Linked DNA regions of Caenorhabditis elegans. The protein of the gene in region 1 interacts with the protein of each later gene in a pairwise test. Each region holds a gene or a part of one and is shown in the gene's direction. Other genes may lie near its edges.

Evidence for each region. The genes of interacting proteins can lie anywhere in the genome.
Region 2: the proteins of sem-5 (region 1) and R08E3.3 interact in a two-hybrid assay, tested with the Caenorhabditis elegans proteins (3 studies listed by BioGRID).

Annotation. Positions count from the first base shown.
Region 1 is NC_003284.9:7,959,704-7,963,459, reverse strand, and holds the start of sem-5 (Sex muscle abnormal protein 5), read left to right. Parts: upstream 1-1,736; 5' UTR 1,737-1,747; coding exon 1,748-1,825; intron 1,826-1,875; coding exon 1,876-1,976; intron 1,977-2,147; coding exon 2,148-2,270; intron 2,271-2,317; coding exon 2,318-2,425; intron 2,426-2,473; coding exon 2,474-2,610; intron 2,611-3,109; coding exon 3,110-3,249; 3' UTR 3,250-3,756.
Region 2 is NC_003284.9:4,816,821-4,820,576, forward strand, and holds the start of R08E3.3 (CCDC22 N-terminal domain-containing protein), read left to right. Parts: upstream 1-1,772; 5' UTR 1,773-1,797; coding exon 1,798-1,847; intron 1,848-1,901; coding exon 1,902-1,964; intron 1,965-2,020; coding exon 2,021-2,132; intron 2,133-2,182; coding exon 2,183-2,309; intron 2,310-2,365; coding exon 2,366-2,478; intron 2,479-2,886; coding exon 2,887-3,153; intron 3,154-3,200; coding exon 3,201-3,323; intron 3,324-3,370; coding exon 3,371-3,484; intron 3,485-3,532; coding exon 3,533-3,634; intron 3,635-3,700; coding exon 3,701-3,756.

The DNA of each region.
Region 1 (3,756 bases):
TTACTGAGAATGTTAATCTATTCGGTAAATCGGCGCCACTTCTCAACCAACTTTAGCCATTTTCTAACTGTCATTTGCAAAAGTGGCAAAAGTTGGTTAAACAGGGTTTTTACGCTCTAAGCAACTAGAAAAAGTGTGTGAAAGTTGACGAAAGTTGGTCGAGAAGTGGGAAGTGGTGGAAATCTAATGGCAGTTAGAAAGTGGCCAAAGTAGGTTGAGAAGTGGCCACGAGTTGCCGACTACGGAACCTAGTAAATTTATTGACAAATCAGTCACATAACCTTGCTCTTGGAAGTTCACACTGTAAAACAGTGAGAATTTTCAGAAAAGTTATATGGATATATTTAAAGAACCAGTGACAAAATTTAATATTTTGGTTCTTAAAAAAGTTAATTTCAGTCATATATTAGTTTTACTATAGATACTGTTCTTACGATTTTGTATTAGTCAGGTAAATACACATTTGTCAAACTAACTAGTAGTAAATACAGTTGGTTTCCAGCTAGAAAACACTATTCCTTATTATATTTACGTACACTCACCGATTAAAATGTCAAGTATTTATGAGTAACTGTCACAGGTTCGATTATCTTTTTTATATCGGTTAAATTATAGTCTTATTTCGTAATTTTCATTAAATTTTTTAACTGCTAAATAATTTTCCAGCAACTGAAGTTCAAAAATTTGATTGAAGTTGCAATCTATTTATGTTTCCTATCTAATTTATCATCTCTAGCCCTATTTCCGAAATAGTTTTCATTTTTATTTTTGAAAAGAGAATCGGTACTGACTACCCAGCACACCCAAATGTTTTGATTTCTAGACGGTTAGTCACCTCAGGCTGGACAGGACAAGGTGGGAGTGTGTTTGTTGACATTCTTCTAATCGATGAATTGCAATACCCAATGCCTTGGAGCATTTTCAATTTGATTCTTTCTTCTTCGTTTTCTCGTGTTCTCTTATCACTTTTCATTTGTTCTTTTCCGTTTCTCCGGCCATTCATTCAAAAGTGTAAGAAAAGACGTGCATGATGACTGCTGATAGCGTATCGCACTTTTTTCTCTGAATCTCCATTTGAAACCATGTAAATTACAGAACTCATTGCGGAAAACAGTACGGTCCGGCCTGCCCAAACTCGCCGTTGTTTTTGTGTGTGTGTGGGAGAGACAGATAGAGACAGTGCGAAGATGGGAGAGAAAAAAGAGACACGAAGAACGCGTGATAGATTTGGAGTATTAGAGAAAAGTAGTGTCGTAGCATTCGGCACATTTAGTGTTGCATACAATGCGCCGGAATCGACGACACTTAGTGTTGCCCCGGTTTGTTACTCTCCGGTTTCTACTGTTTCCACTGTTTCCCCGTTTTCACGTTCAAACACTCAACTAAAACCACCTCAATCACCGAACTAGTGACCCTGCGGGTTTTTATTTTGCGTTCTGCGTTTCTCAATTTCATTTATCCTTCTTTTTTCTCGCCGGTCCTCTTACTCATCTCCTGTTACAATTTGCACTACGCTCTTCTCATTCTCATTTTCCCTCTCAGTTGTTCCTCTATGCTTTGCCGCTAGATTTTTTTATTGCTCTAATAATTTTTCATTGGCGCCGCGCGGATATGTCGATATGTAGATACAGTCTCTCAAGCAGGCCAATTTATTGACAACAATGTTTGTTCAATGTACTCTGTTATGTTTTATTTTGGTGTTAATTGTTTCTGAAGCTGCAAAGAGTATATTTCAGGTAGCGAGACGATGGAGGCGGTCGCCGAGCATGATTTCCAGGCGGGATCACCTGATGAGTTGTCTTTCAAGAGAGGAAACACGCTAAAAGTTTGTTCAACAATATCATAACCGGGCCCTGATAAAATCAATAATTGCAGGTTTTGAACAAAGATGAAGATCCACATTGGTATAAAGCTGAATTGGATGGAAATGAAGGATTCATTCCTTCTAATTATATTCGTATGACTGAATGCAATTGGTATGTTCGGGAAAAAATAGTTTGACTTTTTTGAGGATTTAATCTATAAGCTTATATTTTAAAAATCAGTCGATCTTACTTCTCGCGGTTTTTGTTTGTATACCCCGCAGCTAGGGCGCGAAGAACTGAGAACGCTTGCGTAAACAATTTTTAAAATTTCTGGATTTTTAGGTACCTTGGTAAAATAACAAGAAATGACGCAGAAGTATTGCTGAAAAAGCCAACCGTACGTGATGGTCATTTCCTTGTCCGACAGTGTGAAAGTAGTCCAGGAGAATTTTCGATCAGTGTTCGGTAAGAAGATGTTATAGATTTTCAAAAAGTTATACATTTTTTTCCAGATTCCAAGATTCTGTACAACATTTCAAAGTTTTGCGTGATCAAAATGGTAAATATTACTTGTGGGCTGTCAAATTCAACTCTTTGAATGAATTAGTTGCTTATCACAGGTGAGTCACACTTTTTCAAAAAAAAAGTAAAAAATCAATAATTTTCAGAACCGCTTCTGTTTCGCGTACTCACACAATATTGCTGTCAGATATGAATGTGGAGACTAAATTTGTACAGGCCCTGTTTGATTTCAACCCACAGGAGAGTGGAGAGCTAGCTTTCAAAAGAGGAGATGTTATCACTTGTAAGTGTTTTTGAAACACAAATTTTCATGATTTTAAAATGTTCAATTGAAAGTTTGAATCAAAAAATTCTAGGTTTAATTGAAAATGGTAAAAATGGATATATCTTGGACTGTATTTCGAAAATTTTGAAACTATTCACTTTATAGATCTTAAAACAAGAATATTTAAGAAGAACCATAAAAATAACAAAAAGGTAATACAAAGTACTAGGAAGATAATATGAGACGTCTTGCTTAAACTAACTTTCACTGGAACAAATAAATGCACGTATTGAAAATCAGTTGTTAGATTAGTTTTTGTATAAACTCAAATTGAAATGAAAAAACTCTGTGGCTATTATTTACTTTTCGGAGAAACATTGGATTTCAAGATACAATTTGCAGCATTATGAATGTTCACAACGTAAAAATAGAGTTAATCGGTTGATCATCTATTTGTCGGGGTTGAGCAACCCCGAAAAATAAAACATTTAGAAAATCTCTTATATTTTATTTTCAGTGATCAACAAAGACGATCCAAACTGGTGGGAAGGACAGCTGAACAACAGGCGTGGAATTTTCCCATCCAACTACGTATGCCCTTACAATAGCAATAAGAGCAACTCCAACGTGGCTCCTGGCTTCAACTTTGGAAATTAGGACGTTATTTTAGGATTTTTCCTGTCTCTGTTCGTTCTTTAAAAGGAGCGTTCAATGTTTCTTCTATACCATTTGTTCTTGACATAGTAGTCTAATAAGCCCTCTCTTACTTAATCTCCAATAATAATCACTAAATCTTGTCACAAACACACTTTCCAATGCTGGGTATTAATTTCACAACTTTCTCAAAACTGAGATAAGTTGTTCGTGTTTTACATGTAGACCATGAATTTTCAATGTTTTTATTCTTTGCAACTTGGAACTGCCATTGGCAATGTTTTATCGATTTTTTGTTCGGTTTCGTTGGCAATGATACAATTCTTGTTGTGTTATCAACAGCCTTTTCTTTCCCGCTTTCTTCCAACCCCACACCAATTCTATTACGGATCTATTAAGCGATTAGATACTCTGACACAATACTCAGAGACTGTTCGCATTTGTTTTTTTTTGTGTTCATGCAATTTTTGTCATAACTATTTGCCATTTCTCGTCATTGTCTCTCTTTTT
Region 2 (3,756 bases), 3.1 Mb from region 1:
CCTACAAAATGACAGGTAAGAAAAAAAATCCAAAACTGCTGCCAATCCAGAAAACGCTAAAGACACAAACAGTATTGCCATAAAACCGAGTAGGGGTAATCCATAAATCTGACAGATTTACAAATACCTTTATGATCGCTGGTGGATCAGAGCACTCAATCGACTGGGGATTACTGTTCTGCTCTTTGTCTATGTTTTGGCTCAATCTTCTCCAGCTGAGACCTAGCCAGCAGGTGCCACTATGAAACCACGAAAACATCAAAATTTTGAAATCGATAGTAGTTGTTTTCGCCAAAAAATGTACGGCCGCAAAAATATTGTACTCATAGAGTAAACTGACCTTTTACGGGTCGCCAACACATCCAGCTGTTCACTTTACGACCTTTTTCACACTTGTCGTCATTCCCACTATGGATGTTGTAAATCTGGCAGCGTAATAATGTAAATACACTAGAGTTCATTGATTCGGCGGAGATTTTTCAATTATCACTCTAGTGAGTCATAGAATTCTATTAACGTTTTGCATAACTGAAACTAGAAAAATTTTAAACAACATGCAAATTGTTTAGTAAATTCGGTTTTTCAGGACATCCATGCAATTGCCTTTTTGTGGGATTCTCTTTCTTAAGAGTTTTGCTTTTAATAGTTCCAAACAACTTATTGAAACAAACAATAACGGAAAATGTGAGAATATGGTTGCGATTGAGCAAATTTGAATTAAAATATCAAAAATGCAGACAAATGAATCAGACTCTAATTGGAACTTATATCCCCAAGAGACAATATTCCGCACTAATTTGTTTCTCTGGATCATGCTGTTCTTTTGAGTTTTCAACCAAACTGGAAATTGTCCAAACTATAAATGTATGCAGAAAATGCAATTTTTAATTCAATTGATGTCCATAACATATATTCGAGGCGGAGTTTTTCTCGAATTTCAGTGAAGTATAAGAAAAATTCTACCACAAAAAATATTTTACCTGTAAATCTGACTTTTGGTAATTAGTATTTTCAAAATATTTAGTAATGGAAACTTTTGACAAAAAAAAACTGAAAGTATAGCGACTGAGGAGCGTTTAAGACTTGAAAACACTAGGAATAAAATTCTGTTAGGAATTTTGCGGGCCTTATTTTTCAGGTCGGCTTTATATCAGCTCATAGTGTTTCTCTGTTGCGATACTTTTGCATAAACCTTTTTAGAGAGTTTTTTTAAAGTGAGTTTAAAAACTTTCCTTGTAAGTTAAACAATGCTTTATTGTCGAATTTTTGTTGCAGAAGTTAAGAAATGTGGTTTTTCGCCCTCGCAACAAAAATGGTGCTCTTAAAATGTGCAAACCTCAATCTTTTCATTTGAATTATGAAAAACCATTAATTAAAAAAAATTACTTTCAAAAGTTCAAAAATGCCTGTAGCACAGAAAGCTTCATGACATCTTGTTTTAAATTATGCTTAAATTTGCGCAAATATGATCTCGGTGTTTGTATTTAAGTAAAAATGAATAGTTTCACATTCAAAATTAATTCTCGAAAAATAACTTTCATGCCTCACAAATATTACCACCGTCACTAGGTCACTCTGTGTCCATCCCCCGTGTGTTGCCTTCTTTTTTAGACTACGGTAAACAAATGTCGTAGAATTCTGCGCATCGGACGCAATGCAGATTTTTTTCTTTTTCACTATCTATGTTTTACAAATTGTTTTTATTTGTTTATATACCACTGAAATCTTTTATCACTAATATATACATGAACATTTAACACTATTTATTTTGTTTTCAGGGAATTTCACCTGCGGAAAATGGAGGAAGCTGATGCTTTCATCAGAGACGCTTGCCGACATCTTGAGTGGTATGTTTTTTGTCTGAAATCTAATTTTATTCTTTAAAATATTATTATTTTCAGCTCGTTTGCTGATGAAGATGAAATAGAATTCAGCACACCTCAGATTTTTGAGTTTTTAGTAAGGTAATATTTATTATTTTTGATTTCGTTTTATTAATTTTTTATTCACAATATTTCAGATGTATTTGGAAAATAGATAATAGTAGTAAACAAACAATTTCGTCATATGTATATCCAAAAGTTATAACTACCAGGCTGCAACTTGGAAACGCAATTTCTAACTATCTGCAGGTAACGTCAACCCCTGACTAATCTCAACTTTATAATTCCTTTCATTTCAGAAATTTCACATTCGCGGAGACACCGCCCTTCACACAGTTTTATACGGCAATATCAACAATCTTCGCAGTGCATTCATTGAACTGATAAGGAAATTGCCGGCCGACGCACAAGAGGCCGTTTCTCTAGGTAAACACTAATCTTCACTTCATTAAAAAAAATTTAAAAAAAAAGATTGATTTCAGACCAGGGTCATCAGTTTCTGGAAAGTGTAGTCAAACACGAGAAATCACAACCAGAATGGGTTCCTGTGTACTGTCGTGGATTGAACAGAAATCGGGAATGGAAATTGCCAAATGTGTGTGGAATTTTTTTTTTGAAATTTGAATTGAAGCTAAACTCTGAAACAAAAAGCCGAATGTATTGTTGTACCGACATTATTCATTAATAATTAGTGTGAAAATATAGAAAAGACGATTTATCTAAAAAAAAGTTTCACTTTAACTGAAGCACTTGAGAATGTACTCAAAGGTAGCTTGAAATTTAACAATTGCCAATTATCGAATTATCAAACTTGATTGACATCCTTCATACCATTTTTGAGCACTTTTCAAATTTCTGAGCTTGATTGAATGCTAATTTCAAATTATCAAAACTTTTTTCTGGACTCTGACATTAATTGTCTAATTTTCTATGAAACAAACAGTTTTATTTCGAACAAGAACTTGAAAACTTGAATTTAGAGTTTTTAATCTATTTTTTTCAGAATACTCCGGAAACCTTCCCACTTTGCAACTTCAATAAACCCATCCCAAACTCTGATCCTAGAAAATGGATTTCGCAATACATAAACTCCAGTCACACAGAGAAAGACTTCAACTTCAAGCTGACAAAGCCTGCACTTCCACCAAAGCCAATTTTTGCCAAAAAAGTCGATAAGGAAGAAGAAACTGTTGAAGAAGCGACGGAAGAAAATAATGAAAACTTAGTTTTACAAGCTGAATATGAGCAGAAACTTGCAGAGTATAAAGCTGTTAGTTTGTCATTGAAAGTGTCAAAATTTCATACTAACTATTTCAGTTACAAGAGAAACGCTCGCAGTTTGAAGAGCAAAACAGAGAGCTCGAAAATAAGCTATCAAAATACAAGCCAGAACTTATTGAAGCTCTTGATGACCCAGAAGCATACGTTCAGAAGTTGATGGTTAGTTGCTAGGTACATCTAGTTTTGAGATAACTTTTCATTTTCAGGGCAAAATTGCTGAATTAAATAAGCAAATGGAAGAAGACACGCAGATAATTGAGAACACAAAACAAGCCAATGCTCAGAAGAAACTGCAAATGAGAGAGGAACTGAAAAACTTGGTATGAGAAAATTATGCCTTCAGAAGTTTAAAAAAGTTTAAATTCCAGGGTACGGATGATGAAGAAATAAGGCGAATTCAAGAAATGGAAGCAGATTTGGAAGGTGTTGATGAGAGGATTGAAAGTAACGTGATGTTAGCTGAAAAGCTTGTAAGTTTAAGTTTAATCAGCTGTAGCCAAAAAATCTTTGAATAACATATACGGTAATATTTTCAGAGAAAGAAGCTGTCAAAAATTGATGATGATGTGCAAAGCATGTACGTACTCGAGCA